2 linked regions of the Astyanax mexicanus genome follow. The protein of the gene in region 1 purifies or fractionates together with the protein of each later gene. This does not show direct contact. Links are inferred from orthologs where the notes say so. Each region holds a gene or a part of one and is shown on either strand. Other genes may lie near its edges. The genes, in order: heatr3 and tmem186.

The links.
Region 2: the proteins of heatr3 (region 1) and tmem186 purify together in Homo sapiens (co-immunoprecipitation; 3 studies listed by BioGRID and IntAct, counting the BioPlex papers as one, with this or other methods). This does not show direct contact. The link is inferred for Astyanax mexicanus from reciprocal best matches to the Homo sapiens genes HEATR3 and TMEM186.

Annotation. Positions count from the first base shown.
Region 1 is NC_064430.1:12,188,903-12,201,645, reverse strand, and holds the start of heatr3 (HEAT repeat-containing protein 3), read left to right. Parts: upstream 1-7,005; 5' UTR 7,006-7,115; coding exon 7,116-7,259; intron 7,260-8,596; coding exon 8,597-8,769; intron 8,770-9,695; coding exon 9,696-9,783; intron 9,784-10,469; coding exon 10,470-10,573; intron 10,574-10,754; coding exon 10,755-10,864; intron 10,865-11,048; coding exon 11,049-11,189; intron 11,190-11,330; coding exon 11,331-11,665; intron 11,666-12,743. UniProt on the Homo sapiens protein: Plays a role in ribosome biogenesis and in nuclear import of the 60S ribosomal protein L5/large ribosomal subunit protein uL18 (RPL5). Required for proper erythrocyte maturation.
Region 2 is NW_026040046.1:1,823,980-1,836,248, reverse strand, and holds tmem186 (transmembrane protein 186), read right to left. Parts: upstream 6,119-12,269; 5' UTR 6,024-6,118; coding exon 6,021-6,023; intron 4,038-6,020; coding exon 3,345-4,037; 3' UTR 3,244-3,344; downstream 1-3,243. Other genes in the region: hmox2a (heme oxygenase 2a), read left to right, coding at 1,673-1,800; gde1 (glycerophosphodiester phosphodiesterase 1), read left to right, coding at 10,530-10,868. UniProt on the Homo sapiens protein: As part of the MCIA complex, required for efficient assembly of the mitochondrial complex I.

The sequences.
Region 1 (12,743 bases):
GGCATCGAGCTCTTTCAGGACCTCCTTCACTCGATCCTCATCCCCCCTGCCCGGTTCAGCGCTCTTCCTTCAGCGGCATCAGGCCCGTAGCCAGGGGGGATCGAAGGGTTCGTTCGATCCCCCCCCCATCCCCCACAACCCCCCCCTCAGCCACCCCAATCCCCCCCCCCCCCCCCCCCCGCCTGCCCCCAGAGTAGTGACGAGTAAGAAAAATTGGAGAGGGGGTTACAGCCTTCATTGTACTGTACCGTGACGTTTTACGTGACAGTGCCGCGAGACAGTGTCACGTGCACCCCCTAGTGGTGCACGCCCTTTACTGCAGTGGCATACTTTACATGGATGTGACGGTGCTACGTGCAAATAAAGAAATAGAGAGCATTAATTTTGCAGTAGAATGATAACAAATACTTTATATTAACCATTTTTATTCTGCAATGGGTGTTATACAATTTTAATAATGTAATAATAATTGTCCTGTACATTTCATTCGGATGTATTACATGCTCTGATTTTTTTTTTCTAAAATAATAACTTAATAATATCTTATAAACTTATGACAATGACATAATGATGTAGCACATGTGAGTTTACATGTAAATATACATGATACATATATAAGTGTGTCAGTTCATAAAAAAAAAATATACTATTATTACATGCTCTCTGATTAATTAATGCTGTCATGTGCCAGAAACGGCAGACATGCTTTTATCTTAAAAGTCCTCTAGTGGCGCATGTCCGTTGTGACTGGAACGCCACAGCAGGCAATGTCTGTCTGAATGAATATCCTATGAACTTCACATATTGTCATGCGATTTAAGCAGCTGATTTAACTCGCAATATTAACAGTCAAAAGCACAGCAGCCGTCCTTGATTTGAAATCAGAAGTAACAGCCTGGCTCAGCTAGGTAAAGAGCCGTTTCCCCTTCACAACACTTTTTTTACGCGCTGCAAGTGTAAATAACGCTGTCAGGTCCCACTGTCACTGTCTAACTGCTATGTAAAGTATGCCACTGCAGTAACTGGCCTGCACCACTAGGGGGTGCACGTGACACTGTCTCGCGGCACTGTCACGTAAAACGTCACAGCACAGTACACTGTCCCGTGACACAGCATGCCACTGCAGTAACTGGCCTGCACCACTAGGGGGTCCACGTGACACTGTCTCGCGGCACTGTCACGTAAAACGTCACGGTACAGTACAATGAAGGCTGTAACTGCTGCTCAAAAATTGTTAATGTTTCTCTTTACACATTTTGTTCAGACTGTTTTACACAAATCCAGTAGGTGGCGATAATTTCCCCATTTCTGTTCTTAGCTTGTGGAAAGAATAAGAATCAGGGGAAAGTTACTTGAGAAAATGGGTAAAAAAGAAGACAAGGAGCGAAAACGGAAGAAAACGGCGGTAACATTATCCCAAAATATTGGTGACTTGTTCAAAAAAGGCCCAAAATCGGTAAGTTGCTGAGTGCAGGCTTCTATTTCTTTACAACTCCCCTGCGTTAAAAGTGCCGGGCTCGGCTGAGCCCAAAAGTATAATTGTACATGTAACACCGGATTATTACTGTTATTATTGCGATAACTCCAAAGTCTGGATTTTAGTTGATTTTTAAGAAATGTAGGTTAAGTGACAATAACATTCAGTCACTCACTTTGCAATTCTGACGATCAAGCTAGGGTGTATTTTACTCTCAACATGCCTGTTGCTCCTAAGGCCATATATAAAATACAGTATAGAGGTGTAAAAAGGGGGTTAACCTCTTAACACGGGCCAGAAAAATATCATATTTAATATCTGGCTGTGTTTATGAATACTTATAGGTTCAATGTAGACACCCAATATGCCATTTTAAAGCTTTTCAGTTATCTAGCCTATTTAGCCGTATCTCCTTTCAGAAAATAAACATTTGGGGCGAAATATGCCTGGTTTATGAAAGTTATGAAATATTATTTTCATATTTACGTTTTTCGTACGTCCATATTTGATCGAATGCGGACATGTTATATACACCATTCGAACCGTCTGCCTCTCCGGATTACGGAACTGTGTTTAGAGTTTAAATCTGCTTGTGTTTCGCTTTGTGTTTACCTCAGGACACTCGAGACACACACCCAACTCCCTCCAGCACTTCCCCCACACTCTTACCTTCAAAACGCCTCCAAACTTAAGAAAATCCATCAATCCAGTCACCAGTAATTCTCACATATATCCAAACAGTGCTTGAAATAATTTGAGGCAGAAAAAAATATCAACTTTAACGCGTTATTAAAAGCGGATTATTGGTCGCTCCACGAATCCACGCATATCTAATGAATCAGCAGACCCACGGCATGCAAATGAGCTCTGTCAGCCAATCAGGCGCAGAGTTCAGCGAGCTGAAGGGAGAGGGGGGGTGTGGGGGGCAACGAAGTCCCAGCACAGTTATAGGAAGATTTTAATAAGACAGAACACTTCAATTTATATTATTATTAATTCATGTTTAAGTTTTAATGACCATACCGATAGTGTTCCTAATGAAGTAATTCTTATCTATTTATGTCAATAGTAGAGAGATAGACAATAAAGGACAGCAACATCAGAGACAGACAATGGAGGGCAGCAACAGAGACAATGGAACAAAGCAACAGACAACTGAGGTGAGCAACAGAGACAGACAATGAAGTCACATCACAGATGTAGGAAGTTTGAGTAACACTTACATTTATATCAAATGTATGTTAACAGTGGGGAGCAACAGACGAACAAATAAGGACAGCAACAACAGATTCACAACAAACTTATAATAAATAAAATATGTCTAAATTAAAAGGTTTGAAGTGTGTTCGTGTATTTAGGGGGCATTGGAGTAGAGAGCCAAATGAAGTCCACTTTTGGGGGAAAAAGATCCCCCCCCCATCACAATGCTGGCTACGGGCCTGGGCATCGTCCCCACAAAAGCAGCTCCAGCTAAACACACCAACTCAACCTCACAACAGCTAAACTCAGCTAAACACAGCAAAACAGCTAAAAACACCAAAACCACCAACTCAACCTCACAACAGCTAAACTCAGCTAAACACAGCAAAATAGCTAAAAACACCAAAACCACCAACTCAACCTCACAACAGCTAAACTCAGCTAAATACAGCAAAATAGCTAAAAACACCAAAACACTAACTTAACCTCACAACAGCTAAACACAGCAAAACAGCTAAAACACCAAAAACACCAACTTAACCTCACAACAGCTAAACACAGCAAAACAGCTAAAAACACCAAAACCACCAACTCAACCTCACAACAGCTAAACTCAGCTAAACACAGCAAAACAGCTAAAAACACCAAAACCACCAACTTAACCTCACAACAGCTAAACACAGCAACTCAGCTAAAACACCAAAAACACTTACTTAACCTCAGAACAGCTAAACACACCAACAGCTAAAAACAGCTAAACAGCTCAAATCACCAACCTAACCTCACAACAACCGCACGTGAAGTGATGCTGCTCTGTCGAGCTACGCGTATAGGCAGGCACGTTTAGAACGCAGCAGTGTTGTTTGAAGTTCTGACAAATGCTGCAGTTCAGCCTCAGTAATACAGGCTATATACTGTTATGCCCCTCTGATAGAGAAGAATATTGAATAAACCTAAATGTTTGCTTGCATTAAATCTTTAAAGGTTAATGACATAAAAACAACATTGCATAATAGGCAAGTGTTGAAAGTCGTATCATAATTGTCCCCTCAAATGTATTATATTGATGTTTAGAGGGTCAGATATGTTCCCTCTGAAGTCTTTTCTAACAGCAGCAAGCACAGATTTGTACCATTTAACCAGGGAAAAGGTACATTTGGAATTATGTATCCCTGTATTAATAAACAATATATATTTTAATTATACATTTTTTATTTGCCAGACATGCCAGACAATTTTGGATCATCATGTTCTTGACACAAATTCAGTTAATGTTTATAATCTTTACTGGTACAAAAAACATGGGTAAAAAAAAGACTTTACTAAAAGATACTCTATACCTCAATATAAGGTACAACCCCAGCGATACATAAGTTTTGTACTCTTTTAAGTACAAATCTGTACTTATTTTTCTTAGTGTATTGAATTAACATTAATTTAAAGGGTTTAAATTGTTGTGCTGGGCTATTCTACACTCATAATGCTTTTAGGAGAAGGTGCTTCCCACAAATAATAAGATGTTAATATTAATAATAATTATTTAGATGTTTCTTCCACACTGCATGACCACAGTGCAGGCTATTATAATATCACAGCAAAAACTGTATTGTTAAAATTTCAGAATGAATCATTTCCGAGTTGATTTTCACTCCCAAAGAGTAATTTTAACACTCTTAGGTTTTATATGATGTTCAGTGTTGGGAGTTATCTGACAGAGTTGATCAAATCAGCGTTAACCCGAATAAATGACCACATGACCCAACACCGGAGAGATGCCTACCAGACAGTAGTGAATAGTAGTAAATGCTCTCATTAAGTAAAGGAGATGTATTAGAGTTACTACATGCCCCTCAGGCTGGTAACTAGTTCTAGATCTGAGGCTCATCAGGGTTTAATGTGTAGTCTTCATTAATTCTGGTATGATCCTGCCCTCTAGTCTTTGGCTGATGTGTTTATTAATCAAGCAGCTTATCCCATTTACCTGAATTCTTAGTTTACATTTAGAAGGATGGAGTTTCAGGTTTCTTAATAACCAGTCTTATTATTTGAAACCTATTATAAGTAAAAATCTTAACGTGGCTTAATGTACTACAGCAAGGAGCCAGAAGCAGCAAACATCTCTAATTTATTCCACTGCATAATAAAGACGGTAAATGGTAAAACGTGCTACAGCTTTTAAAGGTGGTTCTGGGTTATTCTGTTCTGTTTGGTTAGTCTTTTTCTGCTGTTTGGTTACACTCTCTGCTCTCCTCAGTGAGGGCATTAGTTCATTAATTGGATTAGCTGGGTGTAATATGCTGTAAACATACGGCCGGAGTTCGCTGGTGTTGGGCTGAAAAGAGTGATACAGTGATTTTCAGGAGTAAAATGTACACAGAATAAAATGTACAGGGTTCTGAACAGATTTATTTTCCTCATAGTGAAAAAACGCTTAGACACCGAAGCCATGCGAGGACTACAGAATGACACACGACTTCAGTGGTCTATAGACCAAAAATATGAACAAAAGAATTGGTGTCCATTTACACCCAAACAAAAAACACTCGGACACATGTTAAGTTGTAATTGACCTCCTCTAACCTCATAAGTAGGAATTTCCCTCAAGGATTTGAAGGCAAGTGGTGGAAGGGGCCCCTTTGATGGGGATTGTGATAAAAGTTTTATGCTCATGGACCGTCACAATTTAATAGGGTGCTCACACATTTTGTCGCTGCATTTAATTCTTAAGTCAAGTCAAGTCAAGTAGTTTTATTGTCAATACTGCATATGTACAGGACATACAGAGAATTGAAATTACGTTACTCTCCTTCCCAATTTTACAGCAAGTACAGATAATAGATATAATAAAGGAGAATGGGAGACACTATGTGTACAATACAGCAGGGACACAAATAGACATACATGAGACAAAAACAAGGTGCAGTGGTGTGGGGGAGGAATAGATATATAAATATAAGTAAATAAGTAAAAATAGCTATATAATTATAATATAAAAGAGTGGGAGACACTATATGTTCAATACAGCAAGACACGGGCGCCGAGTGGTCCAGCGGTCTAAAGCGCTGCCACTATGAGCAGAAGGTCGCCGGTTCGAACCCCAGCTCATGCAGCTTTGCCATCAAGCTGCCGGTGTCAGAGGGGCAAAATTGGCCCTGCTCCCTCTGGGTGGGTAGATGGCGCTCTCTCCCCACATCACTCCTACGGGGATGTCTGCAGCACAGGGCGTCTGTGAGCTGATGTACTGGAGCCGAGCCGCTGCGCTTTCCTCCAAGCGCGCTGGCTGCTCGGTAATGCTGCATCAGCAGCAGCTCGAAAAGAAGCGGTGGCTGACTTCACATGTATCGGAGGAAGCATGTGCTAGTCTTCACCCTCCTGGTGTGTTGAGGTATCACTAGTGATAGGGGGAGTCCTAATGAATGGGTTGGGTAATTGGCCGTGTAAATTGGGGAGAAAATGGGAAAAAATTAGAAATAAAAAAAAAAAAAAAAAAAAAAAAAAAAAAATACAGCAAGACACAATAAACATACGTAAGACAATAGTGCAATATTGATGGTGATTGATCCCGAAGGAAATTTGGCAGTGAGTGTGTGCTTGGGGCAGGATTGGGATGGGGGGTAGAGCAGGATGAGAGTTCAGCATCCTCACAGCCTGATGGATGGGGCTGTCTCGCAGTCTGCTGGTCCTCGCCCCGAGACTCCGCAGTCTCCTCCCTGATGGCAGCAATAACCTGTCAATAACCTGTCATTGTTGCAATTGCTTGGCCTGAATACGAGTTAAAAGTTTGGACACACCTCTTCTCATTCATGTAAATGTGTTTTCTTTCTTTTAATGATTTTGTACGTTGTAAATTTAATATTGAAGGCTATATAAAAACTTTACAGGAGGAACACATGCTGAATTATTTCAGTAAATAAAATGTGTTAAACAAACCAGATCATATTTTAGATTCTTCTAAGTTGCACATTTAGCATTGAGGACAGATCTGCACACTCTTGGTTTAAATTTTAATCTCAGTGTCTTCATGAGGGAGAGTCACCTAGAATAGTTTTCTCAGCGTTTTGAAAAAAGGAGTTTCTGGAGGTGCTGAACAATAGTTGCTGCTTTTACTTCACGCTGTGAAGCTTCAGCTCATGCTAACTGTTTTTACTGTTTACTGCGTAATTCCCTATGTGTCCTTTAATTGTCTCCATGTCTTTAATATTAATAAAATAAATAAAAAAAAACACTAAAAGACTGTAACCCGTTTTGGTGCCACATGGGTGCACTCTTGGGCAGCTGAAATGCTGCCTTGCGACGGTGTACGACAGTACTGCGTGGCTTTACGGCCCGTTGCTATGGTTTCGGGCAGGCGGCAGTGGACCTCCACATGGCAGTGGAAGCAGTCAGTTTCAGTCACGTTTTAATACAAACAGATTAAAACACTGTAACCCGCAGCGCGATGGGAAAAACCAAGAACACCCGCTACAAACGGCCGCAGTTCAGCGCGGACGGGCTCTCCGTGTCCGCTGTTAAGGACGTGCTGGAGGAAGAGGAGCAGCAGGAGGAGGCTGAAGAGTCTCCGGCGGTGGAGTTGCTGGAGAAGGTATATAGATATACCTAGAGCTGAGCGCTAATGCTAGCTAACTGACCAGTGTTCTGCTGAGTTTTGCTGCCTTGTCAAACCATGATACTCAAGTGTGAACAGGCTGTATTTAAGGATAGAAACAATGTTCACTTAGGCGTGTATTCATTTTTTTACCAGTGGTTTTAGACATTAATGGCTGTGTTGATTATGTATAATGGCTCAGAGAATGTACACTGTTATACAAGCTGTACACCGACTACTTTACACTGTATCAAAGTGTTATATCCTCAGTGTTCGTAAAAGACCACTTAAAAAGAGTTTTTTTTTTTTACCAAGTTAAAAACCTCAAGAGGAATGTGGGTGTTCATAAGCCATCAAACCAAGCTGAACTGCTTGAATTGTTGGCACCAGTAGCGGCATAATGTTATCCAAAAGCAGCGTGTAAGACTGGTGGAAGAGAACATGCCAAAATGCATGAAAACTGTGATTAAAAACCAGGGTTATTCCACAGATATTGACCTCAAATAATGCAAAGAAAACAAGTTCATATTCATAAAAACTTTATGAATATGAACTTGTTTTCTTTGCATTATTTGAGGTCTGAAAGCTCTGCATCTGTTTTGCTATTTCAGCTATTTCTCATTTTCTGCGAATAAATTCTCTAAATGACTATATTTCTATTTGGTATTTGGAAGAAATGTTGTTCGTAGTTTATAGAATAAAACGACAAGGTATATATTTGAGCTATACTTAGAACTCAACACTTCATTAGAATATATCTGCTCATCTTAAAAAAAAGTTCTGCCATGGGCCAGATTACTCTTCCACTTTTGAAGCTCCACAGTTGACTGACTGACTTTCTGTCTGAATGACTGACTTAGGGATGTCTGGATCAAGTTCTTTTTTTTTTTTTTTTTTACCCAATCCAATGTGTGTATCTTAGTGCTGAGTATTTAATTTGTGTAAATAAAGCAGCCCCTCAGTTAATTAAAACTTTTTTTGGAAAATAGTATTTACAGTGATCAGCTGGAACATAAACACCATATCCTTGTTTCTACACTCTCACTTCTACTTTCATTTTAAACGCTCCACTTATTTCATGAGCATTGCTGTGGCTGATATGCTAATTCCAGCAGAACACATTACTAACTCACCACCACCATGCCAGTGTCACTGCAGTGCTCTGAAAGAATGACGCACCACCCACATAATACCTTCTCTGTGGGGCCCTTACCATTGAAGAAGAAGTGAAAGGAGAATTATAAAGTAGTTCTGTCTGACATGCTTACTGTTCACATCACTATCTGTCTGTCTCTGTCTATCTGACTGACTGTCTGTTGGTATTGTTCTCTCAGCTGCAGAGTCCCTGTGCAGATGTGCGCGAGTATGCGTCTGCGAGTATCTCACGTGTTGTCCAGCAGAGCCAGACCATCCCCAGCTTTCTGCAGAGAGATGCAGTGAGGAGACTTGGACCACTACTACTGGACAGCAGCCTAGCGGTTCGAGAGACTGCTACAGGAGCACTCAGGTAAGCTACATATTTAATAAAAGTTTCAAGAAGTTTTTTTTTATATAAAAGATAGCTCTTTTATAGATGCAAAGCATCTTGTAGACTTGGTTTGTCTGTCAAAATAAACACAATATAAGATTTACAATAAAATATATTGCAATATCTTGTGATACTGTTTGGAATTTTAGGAAAATGGTTTATTATTTAAAATTGCACAGTTAATTAAATAAAAGTATAAACACACACCAATAGTTACATCTACAAAAAGACTCCCAGGGCTTTTTCTCTTTCCTGTCCTGGAAAAAAACGTCTTTCTCAGACATACCCAGCACATCCACTTCATATTTTCTGTTACTTTTGTTACAGTTTCTTATTTATCTTGGGGTAAAGTGGTCTGGTTTTTAGTCTGGCAAAAGGGTCTGGGGAGCGAGCTTATTCTCATTTTCTGTTGCGACCTGACCCTAGACCAGGTTGTAACAGTGTGGTTAAACATGATATAAAATAAACCACATTTTTTACACAGATATTTACATATAAACTATTACAATTATAATAGTGTGTTGTTGAGAATTTATACAGTATTGCAGAACAATAATATTAAAAGTAATTTCTTGTGCTTAAAGATTTACTCAAATTTCTTTTGGTGCTTTACATCACTGACACTGTGTTTCCTAACTCAGAAGTTATTAGCCTTAGAAATGCTGTGTCAGCGTATGCTTATGCAAAAAAAAAAAATAATAATAATATTAAACGTGTAATCAAGAATGGAAAATTTTTTAATTGTCTGAAAAACCTAAATATGCCTAGAGTGAAGTTTGTTGGTTGAGGAATTTTATTAGACATATTTTTGTCATTTTAAAGTGAGCCATGGTGCCACCACTGACTATCAATATTGCTTTTAACATATATTATCAATAATTATTCATAACATCATAATTTTACAGAAACCTAAGTGCCTGTGGAGGCCCGGATGTGTGTGAGGATATGGTGCGACAGGATGTGCTCACTCCCCTGACTGCCCTTCTGAAAGAGGTGAGTTCACTCACTAGGGGCCAACCTGTAGATCTACTCTGTGGTCATATCACTGCTTAAACCTACTAAAGATATATATTTACAAAGCTTTATAGGATTTCTGTATAAATATATATAGTTTCATACTGTCTGATAATGATTAATTTTGAAGTAATCTACAGTATAAAAAAAAGAAAAGCTGATCAGGATAGCTGGAGCTACACATTAAAAAATATTGTTGGGGCTCTGAGTGATCCAGCGGGCTAAGTGCTGCCACTATAATCAGGAGATCGCCGGTTCGATTCCTGATCATGTAGCTTGCCATCAGCTACTCTCTCTGGTTGGGTAGAGGGCACTCTTTCCCCACATCACTTCAAAGGGTGATGTCGCTCAGCACAAGGCTTCATCTGTGAGCTGATGTATTGGAACCAAGTCACTGCGCTTCAGCGATGCTGCTTCAGTTCGAAAAGAGGCGGTAGATGAATTCACGTGTATCGGAGGAGGCATGTGCTAGTCTTCACCTTTCTGGATTTGGGGCATTACTAGTGATTAATAGAGGGAGTCCTAATGAGTGGGTTGGGTAATTGGCTGTGTAAATTGAGAAAAAAATAAATAAAATTATATAAAAAAAATAAATTCTTGTCAATAATTGTGCCTGTTCATTTACCAGGGTTTTTGATGAGGGTTATTTCTCTTTATTCCTGCAGTGCTGTGGAGGATTTCAGCCAAGTTCCAGCCCAGTGAAAAAGGAACAGAAGTACACAGTGGAGGGTGTAGCAAATGAAGCTGTGAACTTACTCTGGAACCTCTGGTACACTCACTTCTTATAGCAGAATTAATACACAGCAATATAAACACAGCATATTAAACTGGTGATTTTTGTATCTACTCTATCTGTAGATTAACCTGTATTTAAAAGCATAAATAAATAAAATTCATGGGTTATCTTTTAATATTTTTTTTAAACAATATGTTTGTGTCTGTGTTTGTAGTGAGAGCAGCAGTACAGCAGTATCTGTGTTTAATAGAACTGGGCTTACGGATGCTCTGTTGCTTTGCCTGGAGAGACATCCACAGAACATCCAACTCGCTGTATCAGCAGGTGAAACACACACACCAAATAATATTTTAATTATATGCAGAATATATTCTGATACACTGCAATATGCAATATTAACCCACCCTTCTCTTCCTGTGTGTCCACTTTGACTGCTTATACCTTCTGCTGCATGTGTTTACAGTGACTGAGTATATATGCTTATTCTTGTTTTAATCTGTGTTTGCAGCCCACTGTCTACACACAGTGACTGAGGATAACTCAGAGCTGACAGGAAGTGTGAGCGGGGCAGTTCTGGCTGCTCTGGAAAATGTACTGCTCTCCACACAGTCCAGCATGGAGCACGTTCTGCTGCGCACACTGGCTGCAGGTACAGAGATGGATACGACTGTTAAATATGCATTTCTTAAAAAAATGTCTTTAAATCCATCAATTAAAAGCCTTAAAATGCCACAGACTGTAAAGACAACCTTGGCTCTATTTATTTACTGTTTTTCCCTCCGCTTCTCAGGATCAGTATGGAACCTAAAGGCCTGCTTCTCCTCCCAGTGTCAGGCAGAAGCTCTGACCGCGGTGGTGGCCACTCTTGCCCACTGCCTCAGTCTGGACACTGGGTCACTGATCCCTGATCTGTGGCAGGCCCAGGAGAGCCGACTAGCCAGCAAAAGCACAGCTGAGCCAGTCTCAGCTTCAGCGCATTCAGAGGAGCAGCCTGCAACAGGAAATGGAGCTTCTGTGGAAGAGGAGGAGGAGATGGAGGAGGGAGATGGGGAGGTGAAGAAGAACGGTAGGAAGAAGAATGGGAAACATGCAAAGATTGATAAAGACATCTCTGATTTTCTACCTGTGAGTATTTTTATTTAATTTTTATTTTTAATTATTGCTCAGTCATATGTTAATCATTTAACATGCCTTGTCATGTATACAGGCTACTGGTGTAGGAGATAAAAAAAAAAATTTTATTTACATTCTGAAAACTTTGAGAGCTTTGAAATCTCCTACAGGACACTTAGAGAAGCTGCCTGTTTTCTCTTTACTTCACTTAATAATTTCCAATTTTGCATGTTTGAAAATAGATGTAAAAACTAGACAAGCATAATGAAACTAAAGGTTTGGAGGACATGAACTGCTTGATTTGTATTCAGAAAATATTGATTTGAATATGAAGTTTAGGAAAGAGCCAATTTTATGATTTTATTTATTACATTTTGACATTAGTAGATTTACTAAATTCTTTTCTTTTTTTCTATTACAATTACAATTATGCTTTTCAGTAATGTTCCTTATCAAACATGAAAGCTTTTTATGCAGTGCTTGAATAGAAGTCCTCAAGATTTAGGGTTGTAACATCAGGCAGAAAATTTACTAAAATCCTGGCCTGTTAGGGGGTTAATGTGTACATTAATCTGCTACTAGATTGAGTTGGTATTGAGATAATGTAGAAATGGAATGTGAATTTTAAATACCTTCTCAATTTCAGAAATGGTGTCCTGTTACTTTAAGCACTATAAGACCTCATTTAAACTCATGATAATTCACATCAACTTTTTGATTGTAAATCTTTAATTGGTGGCATAATATGAGTGTGTGGAAATATGAGTTCATGTATTGAGTAGATTGTTTTTTCCCCCCACGTACCTCCAAGGTATGAATGTTCATGCATGGGTGGGTGTATTTGAGTGGGTGTGCTTAATGTGTGAAGTAAAATAAGGACAGTCGTAGCCCCCCGTCCCCCTGTTAGGCTCTTTTTTTCCCTCTATCCCCATATATCCCCTAACCCTTAGCCTCAGTCTCACTAGTGGCCTCATCCCCCTCAGGGTCCAGGCGACTGAGTTTTGTTTCTAATACATAATGACATCCATAAAGCCAGAAGACAAGAAGACACTTGTTTTACCCTCTAAACCTTACACTGTCACACCTGCCT
Region 2 (12,269 bases), on another chromosome or scaffold:
TTGGACAGTATTAGATCTATTAGGGCTGACTTGATAGGTTCTTTCAGATTTGGGCGAGTTGGTTCGTTGATTAATTGGGTTAGAGTAAGATTTCCATATATTTTCTTTAAGTGATCGGATGCATTAGAAAGCCAGTTGAGGTTAAAATCACCAGGACCAGCAATTCAGAACTACTAAATTTAGATAAAGATCAGCTCATTCCTCGACTGCAGAGTGCGGGGCAGAGGGAGGCCTGTATATCCCAATTAAAGCAAAAGAGTTATTTTTCTCAAAGTAAAACCTTAAGGGCTAAAAACTCATAACATTTTTCTTTAGATGCTGCACATAAAACCGTAGTCTGTATATTTACTCGGGTGTAAATAGCAACTCCCCCTCCCCTTGAAATTCTATCTTTTCTATGGAGGATAAAGTTATTTAAAACTACAACTTCATCATTGGTTCTATGACTAAGCCAGGTCTCCGTTAAAACTATTATATCAGGATCAGATTGTGCAGCCAGGATTTTAAGATGATCCATTCTATCGTTCTGTAGTGGGCTTCTAATATTTAAATGAATTATACCTAAACCTTTTCTTTTTTTTAAACTTTCAAGATTACTCATTGGATTATCTGTACAGTTTTCCTTTTGGTTTACAGTAATATGAGATGACTTAATGTGTATAAGATTATTACAATTACTAAAAACATTAAACTTTTGTTGATTAATAGCATTTTTTGTAAAAATGCTGGTCCTAGGTCTTCTACTACTAATGACTACTGGTATAATTGAACTTGCATTGCAGGTCTTAGTTAATATAGATATATATATTAGTTAATATAGAGCCCATAATGATTATGACTTTAATTATTCATAGCAGTGGTTCCCAGTCTAGTGCTGGAGGGCCTCCGTGCACCCCACACACCTCTCCAGCTAATAAAAATCAAGGCCTTCCTTAGCTCAAGGTGGTACCTGCATTTCTCGGCCACTACTTTATTGAAATCTTGTAAAGTTGAAGGATTCTTCGTTTATAACAGAGAAATGCAGCTCAGAGGGTTCAGAGCGATTTGAAGGACACAGCTGGGACACTATCCTTCAGTCCTCAGTTACCCAAAATCCACTGCACATATACAACACGATGAGGAAAAAGAAAACAGCACTGCAAAAAATTAGCAAAAAAGGTTTTAAAATTGTGAAATTACTTCAGAGAAGATATAATTAGTATAATTAAAGTATTAAAGTATAATTAGGCAGACATCTGAGAATTCTCTGGTTAAGAGTTTACATGCACTGAGAAAATACAGTTACCAAGATAAAATCCAGCTCTCTTTATTCTCAGATTTTTAGACCTTACTTCAATCTAAAAAAAACAAAGTATGCTGTTCACTTTTGAATATATGAATAATCAGATAACTACAGTAATCTGATTATGAACATATGTAAACACAGTTACAGGCTCAGAATTCCAGACAGGAAATTAGACTGGTGTTGAAGATGAATGAAGACTATCCATTGAAAGGATGAATAACCTACTGGATTTATTGTGTGTCTTGGAAACTGCCCCTCATTGTTAAACACCAATATCAGGATTATCAAATAACTGTGCTTAAATGTTCTGTCAGTGTTGGATTTTGGTTTCTCTATTAATTATTTTACTGATTAAACTAAAGCTGTCCTCTTTTTGTTTGTGTCTAGCGGTTAGTGGGAACACAACGTATATGTGTCAGCTAGCCAGGACACTGCTCAGACACACCAGTGCCCAAGTGCTTCTGGCCACATGGATTGCTGCTATCACCGGATTGGCTGCTTGGTACATAATGTGATTTGACCAGTAGAAAATCACTATAAGGGCATTGCAAATAATTTAAAAGCAGTACACTGAAGTGAGATACAATATATATAATTCATATAAATTTCACTGTTATAACAGCCAATTGTGACAAAAGTTTTGTCACACTGTCTCTGGGTCAATGTGATGGACAACCCTCTCCCCCAACCCATTACTTACCAAGGTGCTAGCTAACATGGGAGTTTGTTAGCTAAAGAAACAGACCTGGTAGTAAGGGTCTCTTCCAAGCATCTTGAACATCTCTCAGCACAGCTAGCATGGGGGAGTGGAAAGAGCTGTAACAAACATTGAGAAAAGAAAAGGGAAAAATATACCTGCTACTTTTTGATTTCACCAGATGGCTCTTTAGCCAGATTGGGCATTACATATTCTACTGTTACTCAAAAATGTATTAAAGGGTAAAACAAAGCTTTTTGAGTGCTCTATGTTGTTAAACAAACGTAGAACCCCTGCTGTACTGTCTGCACTCTATATGGTGTTAACACCTCTAGCTCCTATGTTGTGTTTTGTTGTGATGTGATCTGATATTTATGAGGTGTGCACAAAACCTTCATTGTGTATTTGCTCAATACTACATAAAGTCTGAGACATTCTTTACTTACAATCAAAACAAATGGAACTATGGTAAAATACTGTATACCAAACAGACATTGTGTAAAAGTAATAAATTAAATAATAAAAAAAATAAAAGTAATCAAGCAACTTCATTGCCTGGTTAACTAAGAGTCCTCTGGGTTTTATGTGTACAATTTGGAAGTAGTATTTTTGTGGAACTGCACTTTATGGTCAAATTTATTGGTACACCTGCTCATTCACTCATTTTGTTTAAAATAAAGACAGATATTATTAGGCTTTAACTGTACAACTTGGAGTCTCTAGGCTTTCTACTAGAGTTTGGGGGACTGTTTTGGGGATTTGATTAAATTCAATTGTCCAAAAAAAAGTCCAAAGCTGTTGTGAGGTGATCTCTACCCCTAATCATCCCCAAATCCATTTTCTGCCAAAAGTATTGAAATATTGGATGAAGTGCCCAGAGAACACTGCTTCATAGCTCAATGCTGTGGGCTTTATACGCCTCTAGCCCACGTTTAGCATCGTGACAATTGGTGTTCACCTCCTGCAGAGAGTACTATTCTGTTGGCAGCACTTTTCTATATGGACTAAACAAGCTGTGTGTGTGCCTGTGCACATCTGCATCAGAAATGGACTTAATGAATTTATTCATTAGAAGGGGTCTCCTATAACATTGACATTTCACAGACATGTATGTATGTATGACTCTTATTGATTTCGACCACTCTGAATTACATTAGTCACAAGTTATTCAGTAAATTAAGATAATTCTATGAACTTATTAGGACAGATGACTCAGAGTTAGACTCTATTTGCAACCAACAGAATATAAATAAAACCTGGATAAGAAAGCATCTTTTTATTAACATCTTATAATTTAACAGCTAATAAAAGCTTGCATACATTACACCAGACATAATTTACAGGGCTACAATTTGACCACCATCAAGAGAAAGACCCGAACACTTTCTCAAAGCCGTCTCTGTCTACCACCCGCCCCAGCCTAGGTGAGAAATACATAGTGTCGGAGCAGCTGTATCGCTTCAGCCGCAGGATGGCTTCACCAGGAGAGTCGCCTGTGTCTCCCAGGGTCATGACGTCTGAAATGGGCAGGTACATGTCCCTCCTGTATCCCCAGAAAGAGAGGTGGGACACCTTTAATGTGGTCTGGGTCGAGTCCAGGTACATCATCCCCACTACTCGCCTGATGTAGTGGCTTATGGCGTACAGCATGACTGCAGCAAAAGCTGCGATACCTGTGGTGTAGGTCAGCAGGGTGACAGACGCCTGTTCCTGCAGGTAAAAATAAAAGACGGCAGGCAGGAGAGCAGTGGTGATGCCTGTCTGCAGGAGCTTGAGTCTGGAGAGCGCCCGCAGTACTTTGATGGCTGGAAAAGTGTAAATTAATGAGTATTTCCTTGAGGCAAGATCAGAACTGGCAGAGAGAGCTCGGCACTGCAGTGGGAATGGCGGATGGTTATTTGGTACGATGACAGAAGACCTGGTCCAGCTTGCACCCCTCGTCCCTGTCTGTGTGTAAGGGAAGAGGAGCGGGCGGATACTCTGAGACTGACGGAGACATTGATGCCCAGGAGCTGCTATGGAGAAGGTCAGGCGGATCAGACCTGGTGACCTCAGCTGTAAAGAGATGACACTGTTTACTAGAGGTATAATACACACTACATTGTAGTGCATCATTGCAACACTGAACGTTCAAATAAACAGTAACACAATAAAGGGATCTCCTATAATAATAGTAATTCTTGAAATATTTTATATGCAACACTCCAGCACTTTCCCAGAAGCCCAAAAAACTACCACAATGCCAGTGTAGATTTTTAAGCCCCTCCTACAACTTATTGCCTCATCAGACAGTGTTTTTCTTTATTTGTATGGTTTATGCAGTAAGATTATAGAACATAGTTTATCAACCTATCATTATCCCTTAAACAAGTGATTATTGTCACAGTTCTGTTCTGATAACCTGTAAACCGGGAACTATAATCAGGATGAGAATATAGATGTATCCCAAAACCTAGGTCAAGGTAGGGTGCATTTCTCAGGTCATTTCTAGGTCACACAGTTTTTGAGGTTAAAACTGATATATCCTCCACATAGTACACTCCTACAAAGACTTGACTGCAGCCTAGTCTTTAGTGTGGAAGACATCAGTGTGAGTGGGAGGAGCTAGGTCTGCTGAAGAGGCAAGTGCATTTTGTGGCATCACAAAAAAGGGAATTCAAAACAGACTGCTTTTGTAGCTTAGTTTCCAAATCTGGGCTGTTTATACAAATTCTAAAGTTTCACAGCTATGTTTACAGATCACATTAAAGCATTTAACTGCAGACCTTTTCACAGTTGCCGCATCATCATGTTTGGCACTTGCACTGTTTTACAGAGAGCCCACCAGTTTTTTTTTTAGACTTTCTCAAACATCTTTACAGGAGCACAGCTAACGTGTTTGAACATTCCTCCAGCCGGACTGAAGGCAAGTATGTAATGGAATATTGTGTAATACTCATTAGTGTAAGATATGTAAAATCCTACAGGCCTCCCATATCTCTGCTGTTGATGAGCTTTTATTCTAACAATCGAAAAAAAAAAAAACCCTCTGAATTCATTAACAGACACAAAAGTTTGAGAAAGTTCTACTGAAGAACAACACCTTAGCTACCCTTTGGCAAACACATGAAACCTTGGACACCCACAAGAGCAACCACAAAACACCTTAACATCCACCTAAATACTACAGCAACCATCAAAGCACCTAAACAACCACTGGAAATACAACAGCAAGCAGCCTAAAATATCCATAGCAAGATTTTTACTTAAGAAAACACTACAAATACCATAACGACTTAATATCCAATACCTTACAAACCATCTTGAGCACTTTAGAAACCACCTACAATACCAAGGGCATCCACGGTAGTAACAACCAGGAACCACCTAAGCAATACCATAACAACCACCTTATCAAAAAAACCTTATCAAAAATATGAAATACCACAGCAACCACAAAGAAATCAAATTCATAGCATCCACATGGCAACCTCCCAAAATACCATAGCATCTCTCTTCCAACCCAGCAGGAACACCATAAGAATTGCAGAGTAACCACCTGACATACCGATACCTTAGCAATAACTTGGGAGTTTAATGACCAATTAGCAACAAGCCTGGATGTGAATTTAAACTGCACAAACTTTCTGAATTTACTTCTGAAAAATAACTTTACTGAGTGTCTGAGGATAAAATATCCGTTTTATTGATTAATCGGCAGGTGACTCTTTAGCCAGATTTGGTATTAGATGGATATTTTATTCCTCTTAATACATCATGTGTTAAACAATTTCATTAAAATTATTCTCACACGGCAGAATACAAATACTGACGGCATCCACATGGGTCCACAGGCCAACAGGAGGCTATAGTAATATAACTCAGTGACCTCAGAGAGAGCTCTGTTAGCATACACAGCTAATGTACTGTAAACATCTGTATGTACTTATAGAACCTTCTAATCACATAAACCTATTCAGGAGTTATTGCTGATTATTTACCTTCTGAAAAAACATTTTACTTGTTTTTAGAAGTGTGTAGAATTCTATAAACGCTTACCATTTCAGCCAACACATTTACTGCCAGCGTATAAACAGCGTTTAACACGGCGTCAAACACGTCAAAATAAGAGTCCCGGCTCTAACGTTCATGCAACCGTCTGGTGAGTTTTTTTTTATATATAAAATAAAAGTAATATAATGTGTGCTTCTAATGCAACATTTACCCTCAAATTACATAGTTCCTATAAGCAGGAAAGGAAACATTGTTTCTTATGAAAGAAAATGATTGAAATTAACCTATTCCTTTTAAAAATATACGGGTTTTATTAACATAATTTCCAATGGTACGGTATTCCAATGGTGCCAAAACCACTTCCCCAATTTATTCTGCCAGACGTTCCCTCTTAAATCCTGCTTAATGTGTATTAAATCCTGCTTAATGTGTATTCAACAAACACATTCCACCTAAGATTTAAAATATCACTGGTAAATTAAAAATATATATAAATGTAAAAGATGATGGTAATTACGTGTCTCAATTTTTGTCATTTAATTTTAGTATTTTGTAAGCAAATTTCTTTTTTCTATTATTAACTTGCAATGTTGCCAGATGGGCTGGTTTTCTGCCAATTTAATCGGGCTGTGTTAAGAATTTACTGGAGGAAACGCTGAGGGTTGACAAAACTACCAAGTGGTAAGATTTTGGCAATTTGGCTTATCAGTGTTATAGATAGCTAACCTGGCAGAGATAGAGATAGTTTTGCTGATGGAAATGTGAATAAGCAGTGGTTGTGTTCGTTATTATGTAAGTAGCTTCTTTTCTCATAGCTTAATTATGAGTTTCTTTGATTTTGCAAAACTGAAATCCTCTGGAATATAATCAAGAGTAAGATAGATGATCACAAACCATCAAACCACCAAACTGAACTGCTTGAATTTTTGCACCAGGAGTAAAGCAGCATAAAGTTATCCAAAAGCAGTGTGTAAGACTGGTGGAGGAGGTTGTTATATTACCAGATTAAATTCGTTATATTAACCGATTAAAGACGTGCTGATTTCGACGAGTTCAGCACCGCCGCCATGAAAAACACTTTATCTTGGGAGTGCGTATGCACTGTCTTCTTGATAAAGGTACCTTCTCTTATATCTGCTACATTACCTTACATACTACTACTACTACTACTACTACTAATAATAATAATAATAATAATAATAATAACAACAACATTATTTATAAAACACCATTCATGCATTAAAATGCAGTACAATGCTTCAAAATAAACTTAAAAAAAATAAAACAATAATATAAATATAAACAATAAAATAAAGCAAAAACAACTAAAAAGTAAATATTTTTATTTTCAAATATTGTTAATTTTAAAAGTAATAAAATAATATTAAATATATTAAGTATAGACATCAAGTATTAAAATATAATATAGATAAAATAAACATAATAGAAATAAGAACAAAATAAAAAAAAATAATAATTGATGAAAAAAAAAACCTGACACTTGCATGTGTGTTATGTTTGTAATTTAAATAATTCTTATTTTTCCAAGCACTTTACCCATGATAGCGTCTATGGGTCATTCACAATTTCATTAAAATTATTCTCACACGGCAGAATACAACTACTGACGGCATCCACATTGGTCCACTGGCTAATCCACTTAAAAGTTGTCAGCAGAGGGCAGCATGAGGTGCTGTAAGATTTTCCAGGGAAACACTGCACTGACTTTAGACTTGATAGTAAAACAATTCAATTCAATTGGACACCAGAGTCTGAAGGAAGAGTGGAGAGACACATAGGCCCTTTCCCAAACCGTTCCCTCCTCACTAACACTCCACGACAGAGTGACACTCCATATGAAGTCACACTCTGTGCTGTGAAGGGTGCTTCCAATTAAGGGGAGGGTATAAATTTAGGAGTCAACTCTGGGACGCCCTTTTTGCTTTCTAGCGGAAAAAGGAAGCTGCCGTCACCATGGCTACCGACAGACGCCTTGCTGTCATGTCTTGTGCTTTGATATCGTTTCAGAATCTCCAAGCGGGAATACGAGCTGTCAGGAGACGCAAGTGCCTGCTACATCGTGCTGCATTACTGCATCAGCAAGTGTAGTACAAATGTGTAGTTATGTTTTAATAAAAAAAAAAAATGTGTAAATATGATAATAATGTTATTGATAGTAATGTCTATAACGATAGTTATGATAGTCTATTATAGACATTACAATCTAATGTGTATGTTCAGTGGTAAAGAAAATAGGTAAATTAGGTAAATTCACAGCCTAAATGTTGTTTGCGGATAAAAATGAGGTGTGTATTCAAATAGTTTTTATGAGATAAAATCAATCATCTGTATGATATTTAAAACATGTCTCTTTGCAGCGAGGCAGGATGCTGTACATCCAGATTAATTCAGCAGTGCCCATTTTACGTCTCTACAATAATCCAGAGACCTGCTTGAGGAGAGATTTTCGTTTGACCCGTCAGTCTGTGACACTTTTGCTGAAAATGATGTCGGAACATTTGTACGGTGTTTCCTCCATTCTCCTTTTTAAGCTGCACTTCCGTGGAGCGTGGTGGTTGAGTGTGCTCTGGTGTACACTCGCTGTTGGAGGGTTTTATAGTCCACTCCCACTCCGTCCTAATCACTTTGGGACAGCCCTTAATGTGGCGAGCACTCCACCTGAACGCGCAAACGGAGGCGGAGTAGAGGGGCGGAGTGAGTAGGGAGCGGTTTGGGATTGGGGGGCAGTCTGAGCTGCTTGAGGTCTAGTGAGAAGTTTCCACCAATCGGTGATGGTTTGGAGAGACATGTCATATGCTGGTGTTGGTCCACTGTGTTATATCAAGTCCAAAGTCAGTGCAGTGGTTTCCCACAAAATATTACAGCACTTCATGCTCCATTTTCCAGCAGGACTTTGCACACTCACCACACTGCCAAAAGTACTCATCTATATAATACATGAGTTTCACATTTTAAACTGAAGTGTTTTCATTACTTTTTAATGACATTCAATTTTTCGAGATGCACTAGTATATAATACAATAATACAATTAAATATTTTAATTGATATTTTAATATACATTATTTTATTTTATATTAGGGCCCAGTTAAACAAACATCGAATATTGTTGATATGCTGAACATCGCCTTTTTGAGCGGTTTTATTTGCATTTTAGCAGATTTGAAACACGGTTTACCCAGTGACTTTTACCTGGTTTTACCTGTGTGCCAATGTAACAATCTGGCAACCCTGGTGGTTGTCTGTGAAAGAGTGCAGGCTGTAGTGAAAAAATGTTCGCGCAGATTATACAGGCTGCGTCCAGAAACCCCAAAAGTGTCTCCTTTTTCCTACCGATCCTCCTCCTCTCCTCCGTGACCCGGAAACTGATTTCATGATGCCATCTTGCCGCCTGTCCGAATACCGTAGGAGACGAAAGAAGCCGCTTAAAATCCACCTGTAGTAGGCTTCCAACGGAGGTTACATCAGTGTATCCTACTCCGGAAGACTTTCCAATGACATCACTGCATCTACGCCCACAGAGTACGCGAAAATGGGGAAGGCAACGCCCAAATATACGTCATAAACATATTAATCAACTAGGTTCCTTATCTAATTAAACAGCCAGTAAAGCAGTAATATAATTTATAGTTTAGATAAACTGTATGCTCAGTAAAACTATATTTATGACCCTATGTGTATCATGTTATACATATAAAAACATATATATATATATATATATATATATATATATATATATATATATATATATATATATATATATATATATATAATTTTAATTAATTTATTTATTTACTTATTTATTTTAACTTAGGGACTGATGAGTAAACTGAAACCCTCATAAGGCTGAGGTCAGACAGGGCTGCCAGAGTCACTGGCCAGAAATGCGGCCAAAAATGCGGCTGGGAGTACTCAGGATTTTATTGGAATATCTGAATTTTTAGCTGTGTGTGATAGTAATGTTCTGAAACGTGCTGAAAGTGAGCGTTGTGATTGGCTCAGTTCAACGGTAGTCAACATCCCATCTAAAAGTGATCAGCTGTCCCATTTCCCCAATTGCAGCTCATTCCCTCCATTCCTCCTCCTCTCCTCTCCTCGATTCCTCCACCTTCTTCCAGGGTAGGAGAGGAGGAGTAGGAAAGGAGGAGTAGGAGAGGAGGAGTAGCAAAAGTTTCTGGACGCAGCCACACTCTACAAATCATCTGCACACATAGCTTTAACGATCAGCAAACGCAGCCTAGCTCTGCATCAAACAGGCGCTCCTAAAACGCAGACAATAGCAGTGACTAATGACAGCTGGCCTGCGCGAATACCGTGCATTCAGGAACGCGCTATAACTAACGCCAAGCGTCCTTCTCCGGTTCGGGGAGCGTCTCTCCGGCGGTGTCGGGCTGCTGCTGCTGCTGCGGGTTTTTGACAGCTGCTGAGGAAAATGAGGTTTTCCTCTAAACAGCTTTAAACGCGACACCTCGCCGCTGTTTCCCGCCTTCAGCTCAGCGCTGCCTGCTGACTGACCGCTCCGCCGCAGCAGCTGTATGGAGAGTCGCGTGCTGGTTCTCCTGTTTATTTTAGTAGTGTTTATATGTTTAATATTACCCGCCGACAGCATGCTGCAGCTGGGGGACGGAATCACCTGCTTCTCGGCCGTCTTCCTGGTGGTCCTGCTCGGAACCAGGAGCGCGGTGTGGTCCACGGGGCTCACGGCCTCCCTCTACCTCTTTCTGGTGCTGTTCCGATTCCCACAGCTTCCAGTCTCTCGAGTAAAGCAAGTGCTGCGGCCGGGGGCCAGGCTCGCCCCCGGGGGGGTGTCTATCGTGGCTCACCGCGGCGGAGGACACGATGCTCCGGAGAACACAATAGCTGCTATTCGGGCGGTAAGGTCCATAATATTCCCGTAATATTCTCATTATTCTCTCCAGAGAGGGACCTTCACGTGAAATAATGACTAGAAGAAAAACAACTGGTTAACCAGCTAGCTAGTTTTTACCAGAATACGAAATGTCTCTTTTTGGTTTAACAGGCTATTAACCAACCATCAAATATCAGCTACCAACAAAACCTAGACTTGATGGATTTTTCAGCGGGGAAGTTAAAAACATCTAAAGATAACATCCTAACATACAGACTGACCTATACTGTGCATCTCTGCTATCTACCTATATCAGCAGAGATTTCTCAAGCTGGTCTGACCTTCAGCACATGTCTCAGCTTGCAGGGATAGTTGAGAAATAAGAAACTGTGAACTAGTCCAGGGGTTTCTGAGAACACGTTTGAAACCATTGTCCTAGATTGAAGTGATCTGTGGTCCACCATCGTTGCAATCAACAGAATTCATCAGCTTAAAAACCTAAGTATGTTTCCCTGATGGCAACAAATAATGTCACCAAATATGGGCCACATATCACTTGTGTGTGATGCAGAACACTTTGGTTTGCCCATTACGATAATAGTTCAAATTAATAATTATTTTTATTATAATAATATTTATTATTATTATTATTACTGTAGTGCTAGTATATGGAAGATGTGGTCTAGGTTCAGGCCACATTAATGTTTCTGTCACGGTTGTCAATAGTCTTCTCATTTTGAGATCCATTTAGTCTAAAATAAACCCCTTAAGCCTGGAAAGGGGAAGTGGGGAACAGTGAAGCCTTCTTAGCTGCTGAACCAGCAGAATTATATTCACAAGCAGGGAAAGCAGAATGGGTCCCTGGCATAAACATTACTGTAAGCTAGCTTGTGTTCCCAACAATTCTTATCACTGTATTTTTCAGGTACAAACGGTTCATTTTTGTAATTGATAAGCTTGCAGTTTACTTAAAAACACTAAGCAGAAACAACGCAGTCTAAACTTTGACTTTGTCTGTGCAGAATGCACAAATATCCTTAAATATCTGGAATCAAGATTTTTTGTTTTGTTGCATTTTATTTATTGCTATGGTTTATTATTGTATTAGCAAACCCAAAATGTGTGTTACTAATTCGTTTTTGTATGTAAGTTTTACATACACAGACTTTTTGTGAATTTTGAAAATGCACATAAAAAACTGAATGGAAAAGGACAAATTAAATATAAAAAAAAAAACACCCAAATATTGCACAAAAAAAAATCTTTATGCTTGATCCACCCTATTGTCCCCATGCAACTCTGTACACCCTATACTACTTTATACAACATTATACTGCCATATACTATTCTATGGTACCATATAATCTTTATATTACTCTATACTGGCTGGTCAGTAGAAACAGAATGGTCTGATCATGACATTTTT